Linked DNA regions of Notamacropus eugenii. The protein of the gene in region 2 purifies or fractionates together with the protein of the main gene of each other region. This does not show direct contact. Links are inferred from orthologs where the notes say so. Each region holds a gene or a part of one and is shown on either strand. Other genes may lie near its edges. The genes, in order: DLST and OGDH.

Region 1 (10,039 bases), on a different chromosome or scaffold from region 2:
AACTTTTTAAAAAAGTAAGCTGCATATAACATAAATCTTCAGTTCCATGTATGACGTTTTTCTGTTTTAAAATGTGTATTAAAATACCTATCTTATTTGGTGTTTCTGTTCAGAATATAAAAAAACAAAAGAGAGAATAATCTTTTCTGCATCCCCAAATTGTTCTATAATCCAGTCTTCCCCTTTTTAGTCACATTATAATGAAATGTCAACAAAGTATTAACAACCAACCACTTGAAAATTTGTTCAAAATCACTAATAAGAGAAATGATAAAATAACTCTAAGTTACCACATTACATCTATCAAAATACCAAAGATAAAAGATGACAAAACTCAAGGTGGGTGGTAGAAAAATCTAATTCACATTAACACATTGCTGGAGGAGTTGTGAATTAATATGACTATGCAAAAAAGCAATAAAGAATTATATAACAAAAGTCACAAAACATTCATACCCTTTAACCTAGAAATTTTGCTTTTAGATTTATGCCCTAAGGAGGTAAGCAAAAGGAAGAAAGGACTTATTTGTATAAAAATATTCACAGTAGCACCTTCCCTTTCTTCAAGAAATTCTGAACACCAAAAAAGTATTTCTGTATACAAAGTAGAATAAAAAGAGAACTGTACATAAAGATGCAAGAGAGTGTTTTTCTAAGTCTAATAAATTTAACACATTATTTTCAAAGCTGTACTCCTTATGTATTTCCTACTGACCTTAGTTCCGGCTCTCTATTCACTTTTTATAATACTCTGATAACCCATTTTTTTTTTTCAGTCTGGTATCATCCTATCCCCTTTTCCCCCCAAAAGTGAGAAAAAAATAAAATCTCTTCTTCAGATATGCACAGACAAACAAAACAAATCCCCACACAGGCCATGTCTGAAAATGGATGTCTCATTCAGCACCCTTGAATTCATCACCCCTATCAGAAGTTAATGTGCTTCAGCAGCATTACTTTCTTCTGCTTTTATTTTCAGTTCCAAATTCTCTCCACCCACTGAGAAGGCAGAAGAAACAGACATTACAAAAATGAATAGTCATGCAAAACAAATTCCAGAGTTAGCCATGGCCAAAAAGAGAAATGTTTTGATTTGTACTCTGAGCCCCATCAGCTTTCCATATGGAAGTGGTTAGGGCCATGGTTTCATCATGAGTTCTTTAGAATTGTGGTTGGTCATTGTTGTGTTCAATTACTAAATCTTTCAAAACTGATTATCTTTCCAACATTGCTGTTATTGAACAAAGTGTTCCGCTGGCTCTGTTTACCTCACTTTCTATCATGATGTTCATACACATCTTCCCAGCTATTTCTAAAAACATCCCCTTAAGTTAGTATAGTATTGGTGGGCCAAAGGACATGTGTAATTAAACAGCTTTGGGGGGCATAATTCTGAATTGCTTTCCAGAAGGGCTGGAGTAGTTCACAGCTCCACGAACAAGTGCATTAGGATATCTGTTTTCCACAGTCTGTCCAGCACATCATTTTCCTTTTTCATCATCGTAGGCAATATGATGGGTTCAAAGTGGTACCTCAGAATTGCTTTAATTTGTATTTCTCTAATTATACGCGATTTAGATTATTTTTTCATAAGATTACTGACAGCCTGAATTTCTTCCCCTGAAACTGCCTATTCATATTCTTTGACCTTTTACCAACTGGGGAATGTTTTTTTTCTTATAAACTGAACTCAGTTCCTTATATCTTAGAATGAGATCTTTTCGTGAAGTAAGGCAGAATAAAAAAAGCAGAACCCAAAGAACAGTATATGCCAGCCAACTAAACAAAGGAAGACAACAGCAGACAGAGGCAGAGGTGTTGTCCTGCACAACCCATACATGGGTCTTGATTTCTTTTACAAAATTAGTAAATAATAGAAAGATACCTACATATGTGCCGTTATTCCCAACTGTTTTCTCATGTTTATAGGGTCTGGGACTGTGTTTTTCATTGTTCTTTGTTTTTATTTTACGATTGTTTTTTGGGGGGGGGGGGACATTTTTTAAAAGCAGAGACATTCTATTCCAAAGTCTTCCTTCCACTGACATATTATTCCTGTGTTATTATCATTTAGTCTTTCCTGTTTTTCAGTCTATTAACATTTTACTTTCTGTCATGGCTGAGGAGAAGACCCTAAAATGAGATGTCTTCAATTCATGCTAGCTCTCTACAAATTCAACAAGAGGGTGAAAATGCAGTAACTCAGCTATCCCCTAAAGATACAGATTCTGTATGCCTACATTCTCTATAATAAGCACATGGTAGAACAGCTTGAATGACTGAAAAATGCCGAATTTACGTATGATCCTAAAGCCATCCCTTCCTTTGAAACCTTCTGGAATTAGCCTTAAAGAACCCACAGGGACCAAGACACATTTCCAGTTCATTCCACAACACATCCTTTCACTTCAATATTTCATTTTCCATCCTATAATAGACGAAATGTTTGCTGACAATAATTCTCAATAAGCTCATGTATCCTTCAACCTAATACGTCGAGCACCTGGATTTACAGACAGACTGCTGTTACGAGGAAGGGCAAAACTTACCAGGTAAAGACCGCCTCCCTAAAGGACAGTTCCCCTGTGGAGAGAGAAAGCATTACCAGAATTTCCCAAGAGATGAGAGGAAAAATTCCTCCTCCTCACCCACCCACGTAACTATCCCAATACTCCTGTAGTTTTAAAAAAGAAAAAAAAGAGGCTTACAAGGGCCAAGAGTGTGAGGAGCTTAAAGTGGAAAGGATGGAGCCCAGAGCCCTGAAGCTCCCCTCCCTGCAGGGGTCCCCAGGTCAGCCCCTGCCAGGCAGGGGGCCTGAACCAAGGCCCTCACCCCGCCATAACGCCGTTTGCTGAAGAGCGGCTTTTTCCAAAATGTTAAAAAATAAAAGTCCCCTTCACTCCCCGAAGGTGGGACTCGTTCCCCGGTCCTCGGAGCTTCGGGGAGAAGCATTCTCCGCGCCCCCCTCCCCAAACACCCGAGTCCCGCACTTCTCATCATCCTCTGGGGATGGGCCCGCAGGGCGTGCGGGTCACGGGGGCGGGGACACCGCGAGCCTGCCCCCGCGGAGTCCGGGGGACGTGACTAACCGCACAAGGCGGACGCGGGCCCTGACCTTCCGTCCCGGTCGACCGGGGATCCGGGGGGCCGCCCTCTTTCTAAAGGTCACGAGCAGGACAGCAGCCTGACCTCCGGGACCATCCCACGCTTCCTGGGGCGCAGCGGAAGGAGGCCCGGCCGGGGGCGCGGCACAGCCCCACGCCCGCCCCGGGGAGGAGGCGGGACGCGAGGCCCCGCACCCCGCCTGCTGCCTCTCAGGGCCGCGGCTTCGGCCTCCCCCTCGGCCTCCTCGTCCCGGTGCCCTTGGTGCCCGGGCCAGCCCCGCAGCCTGCTCCGCCCCGCCCCGCCCTGCCCTGCGGCCTCCGTGGGCCTGCCGGGCCCGAACGCGCGCTCTCGGCTCCGGCTCGCCCCTGGCCCGGTGCCTACCTTCTGGAAGGCGACGAGCGAGCGGCTGAACGCCCGGGACACGCAGCGCGACCGGGACAGCATCGCGATCCGGGAAGCCGAGCCTAGAGCGGGCGGACACCGGATATAGGGCCCGGCAACAGCCGGAAGCGCGGCGGGCGGTGCCACGTGAGCGAGGAGGAGGGGAGGCCAGGGCTCTACCATCGCAGCCCTTCGCGGGGGAAGGCCCCCGAGCGGCCGAGGCCGAGCCTGCCCGAGGACCCTTCTCCTCCGTCCGGCCATCGAGGGCGGGCACCGTGCCGCATGCCCTCCTTTAACTTCCCTAGGGACCTCTACGGGGCGCTTCATAAACGTTTTACGGATAACTGATACGGATGGCCAATAGAACCGCGATACCGTCTTAGCGCAGCGTCCGAATAGATCACGCCCTCCTTCCCCTCGCCCTCTCACCGGAGCCACCCCAAGGCAGCCTCCTGGGGGCCCTCAAGGGGACGGGGGGTACACAAGCTGGCAGAGCTGCCTGTGCCCGTCTTCCCTCCCGCCACCCCGTTAGCTCCAGGGGGGCACAGCCCCTGAATCAGCGGTCTACCTCCCCCAGCACGCGTTACAGCTCTGCGCACAGCAGGGGTTAATCGGTGTTAACATGAAGGGTAACCCTCTGCTCAGCTCCCTCCACAAACCCCTCCGCTTTAATCAGAGGCTCCCCATTGTTGTACATCCCACGGAGGAACTGGGCTCCTTTCCTTCTCACCTGCTGTCTGCTTAACTAAACCCTGACTTTCCAAGGCTACCTTTCCGATGAAGGCACTCCTCAACTACTCCAGCCCTTCTCTGAACTCCTGTAGCAGCTCTCAAGTCAAGGCCACCAACGTGGAACGTACATCACACATGGACTAGAAGTCACTTATGTGCCAGGCTCCCTGCCAAGTGCTGGAGATACAAAGAAAGTGCACTACACTGAGGCAGGAGAGTTCAGGATGAGAGCTGGTCACAACAACAGAACGAATTATTCTATCTAGAATAAAATCTCACATATGTTACTTTAAAATTGAATGAACTAGATTGTCAATCCCTTTGAGAATAGGGACATTGGCATATGCCTCTTAATATACAGAGTATCTAGGACAGCGTTGCACTCTAGAAATACTTACTGGTGATGATGAGTCCACTGGATGAAAGGATTTCATGTTGAATGAGTCAGCTTAGAAATATATTTATAGTTTATCATAAACTTGTTTTTAATCTAGCCCTACTCAAAAGTCAGAGGTACATCTACCTTATAGAAAGCCGTAGGTCATTGCTTATCTTCAGACTATGTTATTCAACATTTATCAAATACTTTCATGATATTATGCTAAGTAGGAAATGCAATGTATGACAGTTTAAGGGCCACATGGCCCTTAAAGTCTAGTTGGGGGAATAAAAAGTGTGCTATGAGCTGAGGACGATACTAGATAATGTATAATAGACAATGCAAGGCAGCGAGTGATGATACAAACAAGAATTGTTCAAGGAGGAAAAGGGAAATTAATAACTGTGATCAAGGTAGAGGTAACTAATGCATACTTCACAAAGGCAGTGAAGTTTGAGTTGAGCATTGAAAGAAGGAGAGGTAAGTGGACAGGAAGAGACAAGGCATTCTGAATGAGGAAAACTGCAAGAAAACGTACAGAGCTGGCAATGTTCAATGTGTAGAAGAGTAATAATAGACTAGTTTGACTAGAAAAGGCAGTTAGATGGCTCAGTGGATATAGATCTGGTCTCAGGAAGTCAGAAAGACCTGAGTTCAAATATGCCATCAGACGCTTACTAGCTATGTGACCTTGGGCAAGTCATTTAACTCTGTCTGCCTCAGTTGCTTTATCTGTAAAATGAGTTGGAGGCAAACCGCTCCAGTATCTTTGCCAAGAAAACCCCATGGACAGTATGGAGTCATGAAGACATGACTGAACAACTGAACAACAATGGAGGTTCTTGGATGCCATTTAAAGGTGTTCCACCTTTATTCTGGAAGACCATGGAATGCCATTCAAGGTTTCTGAGCATGATCAAAGTGATACTTTTAAAAGATTAACCTAGTAGGGGTACACAGGATGAACTGAAGTGAGGAGAAAGTGGAGGCAGGGAGATCAACCATTCATTCAACAAGCATTTATTAAGGGTTTACTGGGGGACAGCTAGGTGGTGCAGTGGATAGAGCACCAGAGCAGGAATCAGGGGGACCTGAGTTCAAATCTCACCTCAGAGACTTGACATTCACTAGCTGTATGACCTTGGGCAAGTCACTTGACCCCAATTACCTCATCCTAGGTCATCTTCAGTCATCCTGATGAATATCTGGGCACTGGATTCAGATGGCTCTGGAGGAGAAGTGAGGCTGGTGACCTGCACAGCCTTCCCTCACTCAAAACAAAGTCAAGTGCAAATCATGTCATCATTTCTCTGATGGCATGGTCTTCTTTGGCAACGACGGATGAACACACACATTAAGGGTTTACTATGTGTGAGACCCTGTGCTTGGCACTGCAGATACAAAGAGGAGGAAGGAGATAATGCAATAGAGGCAGGAGATAATAAACACTTGTTCCAAAGTGGCAGCAATGGGAATGGGAAACAAGGGACAAACTTGAGAAACATGGCAAAGATAGAATCAATAACAATGGTCTGGGGTAGGTTTTGAAATTGGGTGACTGGAAGGATGGTAGTTATAACCAAAAGAAACAGGGGGAAAAAAAAATCTGAAAGCAGAACAGGTTTTTTGTTTTCTTTCTTTTTTTTTTTTTTTTTTAAGGCATGGAGGAAGGAAGAAAGGATGCTATTTTTTGAATGGTCTGGAATAAGTGGCAAAGGACCAGCACACAGGTCCTATTATAATTACTCAACAGTAGTCAGCACACATGGGATTTGAACTGCTTAAGTTGTGCCTAAGGAATCAAGGGGAAGATGAGGGTTCTCTCAGAAAGGATATTTTGCGGTCCTTCATTAAACCACTTCTGTTGATATAGGCCCTACATCTTCAATTTCTTATCTGCGTCTGCATAGAAAAGCGTTCCTTTGGGTCCCATCTGGGCACTTAATAAATATTATTGAATGAATGAATGTTTATTGAATTAATGAAGTTTTATTCATTATTTATTAATGAATAAATTTATTAAATTTAGGTTTATTGACTAATAACACTGACTTTTTGGCTAAAGTTGTTTCATTTAGTGTCAGTTCATGTAGAACAGTGGCCGGCACATAGCAGGGCTTACCAGATACTAGATCAGTTGATTCACTGACACTATCTAGTCTTCCAGGTCTTTATCTTGCTTGCTATTTCCTGAAATCACAAGCCTACTAATGAGATTCTGTGGGGAAAGGTAGAATGGCTCCTGAGAAACTCTTAGCTTATGGAGGAACAATCCATAAATACCAACCATACTTAGAACAGCACCAGACCTATCTAAAGGCCCAAAGAACAATAGTCAGGAATCACAATAATTTAGATTATTCCAACAGATTATTAGGGATAGAAGAGATCCGAGAGATCAGTTAGTAATCCCTCCGCCTCATTTGACTAGCGAGATCAACTGACTTTCCCAAGGTCACAGTCAGTGGAGCTGAGACTAGAATTTAGAATTCCTGTCTCTTTTTCCTATTCTCCTTCCAATAAACTACTCATTCTTTATCTTTATTGCTATTAATATTGGTTGGGGGCAGCTAAATGGTGCAGTAGATAAGAGTGCTGGTCCTGCAATCAGGAAGACTCATCTTCTTGAGTTCAAATCTGGCTTCAGACACTTGCTAGCTGTGTGACCCTGGACAAGTCACTTAACCGTTTGCTTCAGTTTATCTGTAAAATGAGTTGGAGAAGAAAATGGAAAACCACTTTACTATCTCTGCCAAGAAAACCCCAAATGGGGTTACAAAAAGTTGGACACGACTGTAAGCGACTAAACAACAACAAAATATTGGTTTGTCATCTACTTAATTCCCTAGGAGATTTTTGTACTTTTTTCCGCTAAGGATTTTGATCATGAGCCTTAAACAAGTAAGCCTGCGATGTGGCAAATATGTTCTATGGACACATTGGTATCTACACAAACACACCCCTACACAAACTTTCTAGGGATACAAAGAGGCTCCATACTTCATGGCTACCATTCAGTTATAAAGTTTCTGTTTTCATAAAGACATGATCTACTGCAAGGGAATTTGTGATAAGTATTGTACCACAACTCAAAGACATTGTGCAACCTCTATTACTTATTTTCCTTTTTAAGTCACAGAGGGAGAGGATGGTAAAGCTGAGGAAACTTTGGTTATAAATATTACAAAAAGCTTTTCCCTAATTCTGCGCCCCCCCCCCCACCCAAAATCCCTCATCATTCTTTTTTGTTCTTATTCCTCTGCTTAGCTGGTGTCTCCACCCTCTCTCATTCAGAGAGCTGGATTCTGGAAATCATAGCACCTGGTCTTTTCCAAAAAGTTGAAATGAGGTATTTTGCTCAGGGATAGGTTTCTAAAGCCTCCAGCCAGGACACTGAAGGGAAGAGAAGACAGGGTTTTCATTTTGGAGAGGATTTGTCTAGGTCTTCTGAAGTCAGGGCCCAGAGCTCCACTTGATGTCATCAATCAGTCAATCAGCAAGCATTTATTAAGCCGCTACCATGTGCCAGGCCCCATGCTAGGTTCTGGGAATTCAAAGACACAAGTGAAATAGCCCACACACGTCTTCAAAGAACTTCTATTCATTGGATCAATAGATGGGGCTCATCTACATTTCTCTCAGATAAGCGTGGTATGGTGGAATTTGGAATCAGAGAACCTCCTTCCAAATCTCAGACCTGCTACTTAATACCTGGGTGACCAGGGACAAACCATTTATCTTTACTGGTCCTTAGTTTTTCATCTATAAAATGAGTGTATTCTGCTCTAAAGAGACTTCTGGGGTTTTGGGAAAGGAAGAGAAAGCCACTTTTTCAGGCTGTTATATTGAATTGAATTAAGCTGAGCTTTGTTGGCTCCTGAGCAACACAGCCATATGCTGGGGAAAGAAAGCCCAATTTGCACTAAACTGTACTTAATTTGCATATTCATAAGGTCCCCACAGCTGGTTGGCTGCTTTGGAACAGTCTCCCTTGCCTTGCCTTCTGTAAGGGCTTTCAATGCCAAAGGGAGAGCCAGTGGGCCCTGCCTTTCAGCCTGCCTACCACACCCTGGAGCCATCAGCAGGTAGCATCCCAATTCATCACAGCCTCGGTAAAAGGACTTTACTGTGGGGGAAAACAGAGGGCAATACCTGCCAAAGTTTATTTTTCTGCAAATATTCGTGGGGAGTTTTGTAGCCTCAAGACATCTCTCTATCTACCCACCTTTGAGGGGAAATGTTCCCCCGACTCGAAGTTACCAGGAACCGGATTGTTTGGATGTACTTCTTGGGTAAGTAATAATAACCTCTTACACTTAGCACTTTTGTATCCTCACAATAACACTTCGAGGTACTTAAAATGAGGGGATTGAGGTGGCATGAGTATGCGTATGGGCAAATAATAATATTCCCATTTTATAGGTTGAGGAGACTAAGGCTAGAATTCTCATTTTCTGACTCTATAGAGTCAGAGATTCCACAGAGAGGTTAAGGAGATAGTATGGTAAAGTGGAGTGAACACTGGACTTTGAAGGATAACCTGACTTCAAACACTTACTAACTGCGTTACCTTGGACATGTTTCTTAACCTGTCTGTCTCAGTTTCCACAGCTATAAAATAAAGATACCAGACACTTGACATCCTCTAAGACCTTTTCCAACTCTAAATATAAATTCTCTGCTCCTATAAAAAACCTTCAAAGCAACTCATTTCAGACAAGTTTGAGGAAGCCAAGGAGTTCCTGACTGCTGATGTGTCATTGAAATGAACAAGATTATATAATTACACGTTGTATAACTTCAGAATTAGGGATAAGGATGGAAAAGGCTCTGGGAATCTTGAGTGCTCTAGGACCTGAATCTTGGACGAACTTGGGCTGGTCTGTAAATGATGAGGATGATGATATTAAGGATTGCCGTACAGACTCCGCACAGGACCTGTGCACAGCAGGTACTTAAGAAATACTTGCTGAATGATTAGGATAACAAAAAATAACAACAGATGTTACCTTTTATCCAAAGACCTCAAAGTATCTTGTCATTTTAGTTTGTTTCTAAATTTAAATCCAGAAGAGTCCTTCCTATTTCTTAAAAACCCACGCACTCAGGAACACAAGTATCTTCCAGTCACTAGAGGTTCTCACACTTCTCGTGATGTTGGCTTTCTCCTTTGGAATCACTTTGGCAACAGTAGACTACTTAATTACACCCTTGCAGGGAAGTGGCTTGCTGGGAGTTCTTTCTTGATGGTGCTACTGTAGCTACCACAGTCTAACTTTCTATGGGCTGCAGCAGCTGTGGTTTAATATCTTTACCCTCAGTCAGACAAAAGGAGATTGCCCATTTAGCATCTCTCACACTCCGTGAGTGTCTGTCATTCCATTTCATTGGTGTTTTGCATCTGCTGTCAAGGGAAGCTCAATGCTGACTTGCAGCTTGTTC
Region 2 (10,512 bases):
TTAATTAGGAGAGTTTCTTTCTCATGGCAAAATGTACTTAAGACAGATGATTTCTGTACTAGGTAGTCAGAGTCACCTCTGACTCCATAGCGCTATGTAACTGTTTTCTTTATGGGGAATTGATCAATTAATTAATTAAATCATAAAATGTATGCATTTAGCCATGCTGCCTTTTCTTAACAAAGTTTTCAGGTCAACAGTAGATAGAAAACAAATGCAGTCTCTGCTTTCTAGAGTCCAGCCAATCTAGCCTCACAATTGGGACTCCATCTCTTGCCTTTTTCCTGGCTATCTGCCATGCTTTGAAAGCTCTCCCTTCTCACCTGTGATCCCCAGAATCCCTCACTTCCATCAACACTCAGTTTATGTGCTATCATCTGCTGGTGGCTTTTCCCAGTTTCCCCATCTGCTAGCGCCTTCCTCCCTAAGGCTATCTTTCATCTACTTTTATATGCTCCGTATCTGGAGTAAATATCTAATTATGGGCAGCTAGTGACACACACACACACACACACACACATCCTTTAGAATGCAAGCTCCTTGAGGGAAGAGTATGTTTGCAATTTTTCTTTCAATATCTAACTCTTAGTAGCCTAGCACATAGAAAGTGCTTTATAAATGTTCATGGGCTGACTGTTCAGCAATTTGCTCAAGGTCCAGCAAGTAGTAAGAATCACAGCCAGGATTCAAATCCAGCTTCTCTAACTCCAAATTTAATGTTGTTTCCACTAAGCTGCCTTACTCTGCTACCTTTTCTTCAATAGTAAGTAAGCTTCTTGAGGTCAAGGGTTGTTTTATTTTGGTCATTGTATCCCCAGTGCCTAGTTTGGTGCTTAGCGTGGAGTAGACAGCTCAATATATTATTGTTTGTTGATTAGTTAGGCTGATCTACCTTGGAGCAGGTCTCTGAATGGACAATGTTTTCCAGAATCCAGACAATACTGGCAAATGATAGGAGCTCTTTAAGTCACGATATAGGACTACACCTTTCTTGGAGAGGAAAAATTAAAAACACTATGAGAATATCTTTCTTAATCATCTATATCCTGCCCTAAACAGGGGGATATTCCCCAAAGTTCTGACTTGGGCGTTTCCTTACCTCCCCTCTCTCAGTGATTTTGTCACTTCCTATAAGATCAAATATCATTCCTATGAAGATGTTACTAAAAAAATATACACACATCCATAGTCTCTTCCCTGAGAGAGCCAAATGCCTTTTAACGCATTTAGACTAGGATGTCCTACAGGCATTTCAAAGTCTATGTCCAAACAAAACTCATTATCTTTCCCCCAATCCTACCCCTCTTCTGACTAGAATGTACTCTCTCTTCATATCCACCTCTTTAAAAATTTAATTTGTCCCAAAACTCAGCTCAAACGTCACTCTTCTACCTAGAGTTTTCCCTAGTCCCTCCTTCTACTAGTGCCTTCTTCCCTCAAAATAATCTAGCATTTATATTAAACGTTTCTTATATGTACTTTTATATCTACACCTTTTCTCTCTAATGGAATGTAAACCCCTGAGGACAAGGATTGTTTCATTTTTGTTCCAGTAGTTAGTGCCTAGCATAATGACTGGCACATAATAGGTACTTAATAAATGCTTGATAATTTATTGATTTACCATTATTCCTACCAGCCTTCTACTTGATTCACTATTGAAAAACTATTAGTGAAGTGAGAAAAACATTCCTGATGTTAAGAGTTTAACAAAAACATTTTTATCCAACATTGACCCAAAGGTTTCTTTAGATGTATAATCACATTTTAAGTGACTACATCATTTGTAAATGTTTTGGTTCTTAAAAATAACATGATATACCTGAAAAATACTGCTCATTTAACTTGGAATTTTACAAAAATGTTAATTACCATGTTGTTCAAACAATGAAAAAAATACACATCTTTCTCTTTGTTAGTGTGCTAGAAATGGAATTTTGCACTTCAGGCTTTCTCCTTATATTGCAAGATCCTACAGCACTAGGAGATATCAAAGATCCAAGGACTGGTTCTCAGATTTGCAGAGACAGAAACTCCACTTTATTCCTTCACTTAAGGGCTAACCAAGCTGTGGAGGACCAATATATACTAACAACTCAAGAGACTGACTAATGAAGCTAAAATGCTCATATATTAATGCAGACTAATTAGTGAATGGACCAAAGTATGGCTGGCCGGTGCTTCTTCTTTCCAGCCAGAAAATCTAGCTGGAAAGCACAATTAAAAAAAGTTTGTTAGTACATAAAGTCTGAGTAAAGAGAGTTGGATAGTAATGGATAGTGTCATCAAACTTTAACAGACTGACACAATCAACCATCATCTATTGAGGATCAAATAAGATAATGTGAAAGCCCTTTGAAAACGATGAAGCAATATGCAAATATAAAGTATTCTTTTGCCTTCTTAATGTTTTTAGTGTTCTGGACTTCAAGTGGTTGATTGTCCTCTGTTCTCAAAGAGGACCAAAATGACAGCACTATGTTAGAGTCAAATTACAATGTGTCTGACTGTGCCTGATCAGACCAATATGACCTGGAATTTTCTACCACAGGTCAGGCACAAATAGTCCATGCAAACATTAGGAGTGGGTTCTCTAGATGTGTGCATCTTGAGACTTCAAGTGGTACAAAGTAGGACAATCATTCATCTGTGACTTATTAGTTAAATCTTACAGAGTTGCCTGAGGCACAAAAATTTAGCGACTGCTCAGTGAATGCTTATCTACATATCTTGCAATGACAGGCTGTTTCTATACCCCAGTAGTACTCAACAAGACTATTTTATGCAAATCTGATCAAGGTATTAAGGTGCTATGCAGTTGGCCCCAGGGGAATTACAACCTGTCAGACTCTGGGATATGTGTCTGGGGCATATTTCCCTCATTTGTAAAATAAGTACATCGTGTAAATGGTCTCTAAATGCCTTTTAGTCATTCTCCAGCAGTCTCAGAGATTCTTTCATAAGACAGTAAAGCACTGCCTTTGCTTTTATCTTTTTTATGCACGGGTGGGTGGCATACATAAAAATGAGAAGGAGTCTCATAGGCCTTTAAGGAACTTTCTGGTAAACAAACTCATTGAAACAATTAGAAAAAAATAGGATTGTACATTAAGAGTGGCAAAGGGACCTCAGTGGTCATCTAAATATTCCTCACTCCCCTTCCCGGAGCCAGAATGATAGAAAAGTCAACTGTTACATTTTCAATCAGCAAATTCTACAAATCAGTCCTTAATTTATTATTTTGTGGATTGTTAAGACTTCAGAAAGCTAAGGAGAAAATGTTAATAATGTTAATAGGACCTTTTGGAGAGTCAGTCAGTTGTTAACATATATCAGTATACCTCTCTCCACTGGTTACTAGTACCCTATTTGCTCTAATTGTTTTTTAATCTCTTTTGTTTTTATTTTTCTGTGTTGATGTTATTTACGCCCAGTTGAATGTAAGCTCCTAGAGAACAATCTTTCTTTCCCTTTTTTCTTTCTATCTCCCGAACCTAGCACACAGTAGCTGAGTAATATATCCTTGCTGAATGAATTAATCTAGCAATTTTTCATATGAAACTGAGGCCAAGAGAGATTAATTAGTTGTCACACAGGTGGTAAGTAAATAGTACAGGTGTAATTTGAAACCATGTCCTTTGATTTCAGATCTTAGCATGAATATAGATCTTTACACTGATTAGTATAAGGCACCATAGTTGCCAAAATATATGGAGCCAATAGAGTGCCACGGAAAGAAAGGGCTGATCTCGAAGGGATCTGAAATCAAATGCTGTCTCACTTGCTTGCGTTTATTTGCATTACAATTAAGTTTTTTAAAAGCAAACTTACTGATTTTCTGAGTCAAAAAAAAATTATTCAACTAACCTATATGCTTCTCTAGTCCCTCTTTTATGTCCCCTCCTCTTTGATTTCCTTTTACCTGCTTCCTGTCAGCTGTCTCTGCTTCTACTACTTCAAGCCTCAGAGATTCAGTTCCTCGTTTACAAAATAAGAAGGTTAAACAAAAGACCTGTAAGGTCTTTTCCACCTCTGATACTCTATGGGCCTTTTGAACTTTTTTGACTGCACTCATTTCCAGCTTCTTTGGCTTCTCCAGCTGCACTCATTTAGGACTTTGTTCGCTTTTCCCTCCCAACTTGCGTTCAGCTTTTTTGTATTGTCTTCTTCATAAGACTGTAAGCTCTTTGAGGGCAGGGACTGTCTTTTTTGGTATTTGTATCTCCAGAGCTTAGCACAGTGTCTTGCATACAGTAGGAACTTAATGAATGTTTATTGACTATAGTTTGTAATACTGACTAGAGTTACTGAGGCTTTATGTGGAGGGTGTAGATTATGATTCAAAATACTCATGCTTCCCTGTGTTGACCTGAAAACTTGGTTAAGAAAAGGCAACAGGCTAATTGCATACATTTTATGATTTAATTAATTAATTAATCAATTCCCTATTAAAGATAATGGTAACATAATGCATTATGGAGCCAGAAATGTTCTGGCTACCCAGTGCAGAAATCTTCTGGCTTATATACATTTTGCCGGGAGAAAGGAACTCTCCTAGTTGAACAAATCATAAATTTAGTAAGACAAGACAATTAACAAAGTAATGTTGGTCAGGCCTTGGGATTCCAGCTGGGTAAACATATGTCTCGGTGATAAAGAAGGAAATCCCACCACTAGTAAGTGGCAGGCTTCCTGCCCTAAACAGGTAACTGACACAGGAAAGGGTAAACAATGTTCAATAGAAACCCAGAATGCCTATTTTTTCTTTACCATTAATATCCCATAACGTAGTATGTGTCCATTATTCAAGATATGTCATAGGTTAAAGGTCTCCCAAGGAGTGCAGAGTCAGCTTTGGCTGGCTTTTGCTGACATAGGAAGAGGCATTCTCTGAGTTTGCTTTAGAGAGAACAAAGAGATTATTCCAAAATTTTATATTAAACATTATCACCTGTCAGACAATATTCTTCCTTGGCTATTTTTTCCCCCAGGGCTAAAGTGCAGGGTCCAGAGTCAGGAAGACCTGAGTTCAAATCTGGCCTCAGATACTTACTAACTTCATCAAGTCACTTAACTCTGTTTGCCTCAGTTTCCTCATCTGTAAAACGAGGTAGGGAAGGAATAGCAAACCACTTCAGTAACTTTGCCAAGAAAATTCCATTTGGGGTCAGGAAGAGTTAGATACGACTAAACAACAAAAAGTTTTTGTTGTTATTGTTTAGCCTAGCACAAACAAGTTAAATGATCTAGGTTTCACAAAACTAGTGAGTACACCAAGAATAATTTGAAGCCAGGACTTCCTGAGGTAAAGTCATACCAGAACACCTCTACAACAGCTGTTCTTAACTGTTCATCTGTCATGGATCCCTTTTTGGCATAATGGCAAAGCCTATGGACCCCTTCTCAGAATAATGTTTGTAAATGTATAAAATAAATTACAAAGAATTACAAAGGAAAAAAGTCACATTGAAACAGCATATTCCATATTAAAAAAATAAACTTCAGAATCCCCATGTGAAAGAGGCTGCTGCTCTCTAACCTACACGTACTTATTCCTATTATCTCATGAAAACATTAATATTTCACTAATCCAATCAAGCGACTGGTGGATAAATGCTTGCTGAACTGAATTTAACTAAGTAATTATTCCATCTCAGATGAGGTTCCAGCCCCAGCTGTCAACATCTAAGGAAAGGCAGGGCCCTAGAAACGATGACTAAGCGCTGTGTGACCCGTGCGGAAAGAGTCGAGAACCCACGTGCGGGCGGGGGCCCCAGGTGCCTCCCTGCTTGGCCCCATCTTTTCTACCGCCTTCTCCGCGCTGCGCTCCAGGGTCTGCGCGCGAGTCCAGCACGCGCGCCCTTCCACTGTCACAACATTCCATTGGCCCTGGACGCCGCAGAGACGCGGAACACTGTGACGTCACAACTCGGGCACAGTGGTCCCTATCTCTAGAGGGGGCGTCCCGGGTTAGGCCTCACAAGCGACAGCGGGCCCAAGGGAGGAAGGTCCTCCCGAGAGGCAGCTGTCCGGTTTCACGCGCCGGGAGTCCAGAACTCGGGGGTGGCACAAATGCATAAACTAGACGAGTTAGGAAACTGAGAGCCCAAGGGCGGTGTTTCACCTTCTCCAGGCTCAGAGGGGGCGGGACAGGCTGCGTGGTGACGTAACACGCCGGGCGGGAGGGGGCGGGGCGAAGGCACTGGTGTTGCCGAGTGTGGGGGAGTCGGTACCTCATTCCCGGGTGGAGCCGGAGTCGGAAACAGGTAACTCCTTTGCTCCTTCTGTTTGTTTGTCTGGGACCGGGGCTAGGTCCAGGACTGGGGCTTTTGCTCCGTGGGCTATAGGGGCGGGATAGCTACGAACAAGAAGCACGGACATCGTGTCCTTGCAGCCGCCGCCCGGGTGACTTGGCCGGCCCTCTGGAGGGGGAGGGGGTTTGGGACTAGGGGGTGGGGGGGAGAGAGAACGGGGTAGGGAGGAGAGTCAGAACCAGGATGAGGCTGAGGGGAGACGGGTGGGGATGAGAGAATTCTGAAAGACTTTCTCTGGAGCCAATGGGCAAGGCTGGAGCGGTTTGCGGGCGAAGATTGGCGGCTGCCGGCGCGCGCTGCGGGTGCCGCGCGGGCGCGGCGAGGATTCTTATTGGTGGCCTGGGATGAGGGGGAGGGGTTACTTCGGCGGGCGGATGTGAGGGAACCAGTTGCTGCCTCCTCTCCCGTGACCCACAAGGTCGAGGGGAGAACATCACGTGGGCATTGGAAAGGAGGTGATCTTGTCCGGACACCTCGTCCCGTTTGTCCCTTCCTATTCTAAGTCGGGTCTGAGCCACTCCCACCCCCATCCCTCCAATCCTGGGCACGCCCTACTGCTCCTTCGAGTGTGTGGCTGCCTTGGGAGTAGAACTCGCCCTCCCTTTTGCCGGGGGACCCGCCCCGCCCCGCCCCGTCCCGCCCGGGAGTCCCGCCCACCTGGCTGTCCAGCCCGGCTGGAGAGCGGCCGGCGGAGCCCTGGGTGGGACGTTGTAGCCGCCTTCTTGTCTTGTTTGTGCCTGGGTCTGGCAGAGCCGGAGTCCCCTAGTGGAACCTGCGTCTTGGATGTGCATTTCCGCTCGGACTCTCGGTTCCTTAGATTTCGGGGCTAAGGGAGGTCCTGGAGGAGACTGGAGGCGTTTTTACAACCACACAGTTACTTTTTTAAAGCCTATTAGTTTTCTCTAAAAACTAGGGAAGGAGCAGGGCCCTTGAAGGGGCAGACTCATCAAGGACTTTATTTTTTGACCTCTCATTTCCGACCTTGCTATATTCCCCCTCAGTTATCTTTCCTTAAGAGACTTACGATATTATCTGCTTCTCTTTCCAAACCTCTGGGAATGAGAAAAATAGTAGTTACAAAGTACTTTTAAACTAGTGTATGAAGTTTAACAGACCTAAGCTGAGTGGCACCTTTCCATAGAGCCTGCTTGTTCTAGCAAGAATATCTTTGTGACAAAGTAACACTTAAAATGTTAGAAGGTTGGCCAGTTGATGACCTTTCAGACAAGGCTGTGAGGCAATAGAAAGACTTAAGATTTTGAAAGAAGAGGATGTAGGTTTGAATCCAGGCTCTTCCACATGCTAACTATGTGTGACCTTGGAAAAAATAATTTCACTTTTTCTCATTTTCTTTTTTTTATGTAGAGGATAACGTGCTTTCCCCCCAATTTTTTAACATTTTTGTTTAAATTTTTGAGTTCCAAAATCTTTCCCCCTCACTTCCTCCCCTCCCCCCTTCCTGAGACAGTAAGCAGTCAAATATAGGCTATCCACGTGCAATTATGCAAAACATTTTCATATTAGTCACTTTGTACAAGAAGATTCAAATAAAAGAAAAACATGAAAGTGAAAAATAGCATGCTTCATTTAGTATGTATTCAGTCAATATCAGTTCTTTCTCTGGAGGCATATTATGTGCCATCATTAGTCCTTTGGGATTGTCTTGGATGGTTGTATTGCTGAGAATAGCTAAGTCACAGTTCTTTGTGGAAAGTGTTAGTGTGTATAATGTTCTCCTGGTTCTGTTCACTTCATTATGCATCCAGTTCACAGTTTACAGGTTTTTCTGAAATCATCCTGCTTGTCATTTCTTAAAGCACAGTAATACTCCTATAATGGAGTCATATACCACAGTTTGTTTAGCCATTCCCCAATTGATGGGCATCCCTTTGATTTCCAGTTCTTAGCCATCACCAAAAGAACTGCTATAAATAGGTCCTTTTCCTTTTTTTTGAATGTCTTTTCCCCATCCTCATTTTCTTGAAAGGTTAGGTAGCAGATGACCACCTCTAAGGTCCCTTCCAACCCTCCATCTCTGATCCTAAAGGAAGAAGGGGATTTGTAGCTTCTCTAATCCACGATCTTTGACAATTCCCTTAACTCCCTGTTCTTCACTTAGGAGTCTCATTTATTCACACTTTCCAGAAGTTCAGTAAAGTGTTTTTAAATTAGTAATAGGGAAATAAAGTGAATTATCAAAGGTCTGCAACATGACTAACCAAGCCCTCAGAATCTTATTAATGAAACTTTTTTTTTATCTTTTAAAGGAAAACAGTTTTGCCAAACTCACCTTGTCTGCTACTCCAGTCCATCTTTTCTGACCCCACTTTCTTTTCATTGCCTTTTGCCAGCTTCCTATCTAGAACTGAGAAAGGGAGAGATGGCAAACTTCATCTACTTCACTAGGCCACAAGAGGTACTATCTCAGGAAGGAACTTCCTTGGTGCTGGCCTCATCTGTACCTTCAGTAATTGTGGCCACTTTTCCAGTTCTCTGAGTAGGCTTTCTTTGACCTCAGCAGCCAGAGTAACCTTAAGTAACAGTGAGTATCTTGGTCTCAGGCCACATGCTTCTATTTAAAGTTGCTTGATCTCTGAAAATCAACTGAGAACTGCAGAGAACTGCTTTAGCTTCTCCAGGATGGAAGACTGTCTTCCCAGTGTTGGAGTTATCCTGCATACCCCAGGATGCCCTTTGCCTTTTGTCAACCCAGTTGATTGTCCAGTTGCTTGGATCCTATTTTAGGTACCTGTTTTGATTTATCAGGTAACTGTCACATTACTTATATTTGTTTTCCCAATTTTTTTTTTTATTCTGAACTTAAGAAACACCCCACAAAATGAACATTACTATATACAAAGTGGAACAGAAAAAGGGAATTATATGTGAAACCACAAATCTCTACTGCATAAATTTCAAAGTTTCTATTCAGCTCTAGTATTTTCATCAGGAATACTTGGGAGTATTCTCTTTCAAAAGTCCATCTTTTCCCCTGTAGCTTAATTTTTTATTTTTAAATTAATTTTTAAATCAGTGAAAATCCACCTCCTCTTCCTCCCATATCCCAGTCTCCATTGGGGGGGAAAAAACCCGGAAATCTCAGTTACAAATGTTATTTATTTTTGTTTACTGCTTTCCTAGCCTGAGGCAGCTGGATGGCTAAGCCTGGAGGCAAAATAAAAAAAATCAGTCAATAAGCATTTATTAAATACCTACCATGCACCAAGTTTTTTGCTAAGTCTTAGAGATACAAAGAGGCAAATGACAGACCTAATCCTTGAGGAGCTCACAATCTTATGAGGAATACATCAAACAAACACATATATACAGGATAAATAGGAAATAATTAGCAAAACGACTGCACTAGAATTAAGGAGAAGTTGGGAGAAGCTTCCTGTGGAAGGTAGGATTTTAGTTGGACCTTAAAGGAAGCCAGGGGAAGCAATAGGCTGAGAATGTTTCAAGAACTGAGTTCAAATGCAGCCTGGCACTAGCTGTGTGACTGACAAATCACTTAACCTCTCTTGCTTAGTTTCCCCAATTGTAAAAGAGGATAATAATAGGACCTACTTTCAAGGGTTGTGAGGATCACATAAAATAATATTTGTAAAGTTCCTGAAACATAGTAGCTGCTTTAAAAACATGCTCATTTCTTTTTTTCCTTCATTTTCACTTACATTCATTCTTGTGAAAGTAATTTGGTGTATTACTCTTAACTTGGTCATTACTCTTGAATGTTAATCCTTCCCATTTAAGAATTCAAATTTTATTAAAAGGCGCTATTGGTGAATCTAAATTTGGTATTTTTGTATTGGCTCAATTGCCTAGTATTTTCTTATTTTGTCTCTGATGATATAGTGTTGTCTGGATTCTATGTTCCCGTCCTCACTAATTCTCCTGGTTTTCTCTAGCTATACCCCATTCCTAGAATGTTCTTCTTCATTTCCACCTCCTAGCTTCCCTGACTTCTTTGAAGTTGCTAAAATCCCACCTTCTCTAGGAAGCCATTCCTGATCCCTCTTAATTCTAGTGCCTTTCCTTTGTTGATTATTTCATTTTTATCTTGTATATGGCTTGTTTATACATAATTATTTGGTATTTCCTCCATTAGACTGTGAGCTCCTCAAGGACATGGACTGTATTTTTCCTCTTTTTGTATCTCCAGTGCTTCACACAGTACCTGTCGTGTAGTAGACAC

Evidence for each region.
Region 1: the proteins of OGDH (region 2) and DLST fractionate together in Homo sapiens (co-fractionation; 3 studies listed by BioGRID). This does not show direct contact. The link is inferred for Notamacropus eugenii from reciprocal best matches to the Homo sapiens genes OGDH and DLST.

The regions. Positions count from the first base shown.
Region 1 is NC_092878.1:57,651,827-57,661,865, reverse strand, and holds the start of DLST (dihydrolipoyllysine-residue succinyltransferase component of 2-oxoglutarate dehydrogenase complex, mitochondrial), read right to left. Parts: upstream 4,513-10,039; 5' UTR 3,814-4,512; coding exon 3,487-3,813; intron 2,584-3,486; coding exon 2,550-2,583; intron 1-2,549. UniProt on the Homo sapiens protein: Dihydrolipoamide succinyltransferase (E2) component of the 2-oxoglutarate dehydrogenase complex. The 2-oxoglutarate dehydrogenase complex catalyzes the overall conversion of 2-oxoglutarate to succinyl-CoA and CO(2).
Region 2 is NC_092872.1:522,887,577-522,898,088, forward strand, and holds the start of OGDH (2-oxoglutarate dehydrogenase complex component E1), read left to right. Parts: upstream 1-6,108; 5' UTR 6,109-6,266; intron 6,267-8,665; exon of another isoform or gene 8,666-9,080; intron 9,081-10,512. UniProt on the Homo sapiens protein: 2-oxoglutarate dehydrogenase (E1o) component of the 2-oxoglutarate dehydrogenase complex (OGDHC). Participates in the first step, rate limiting for the overall conversion of 2-oxoglutarate to succinyl-CoA and CO(2) catalyzed by the whole OGDHC.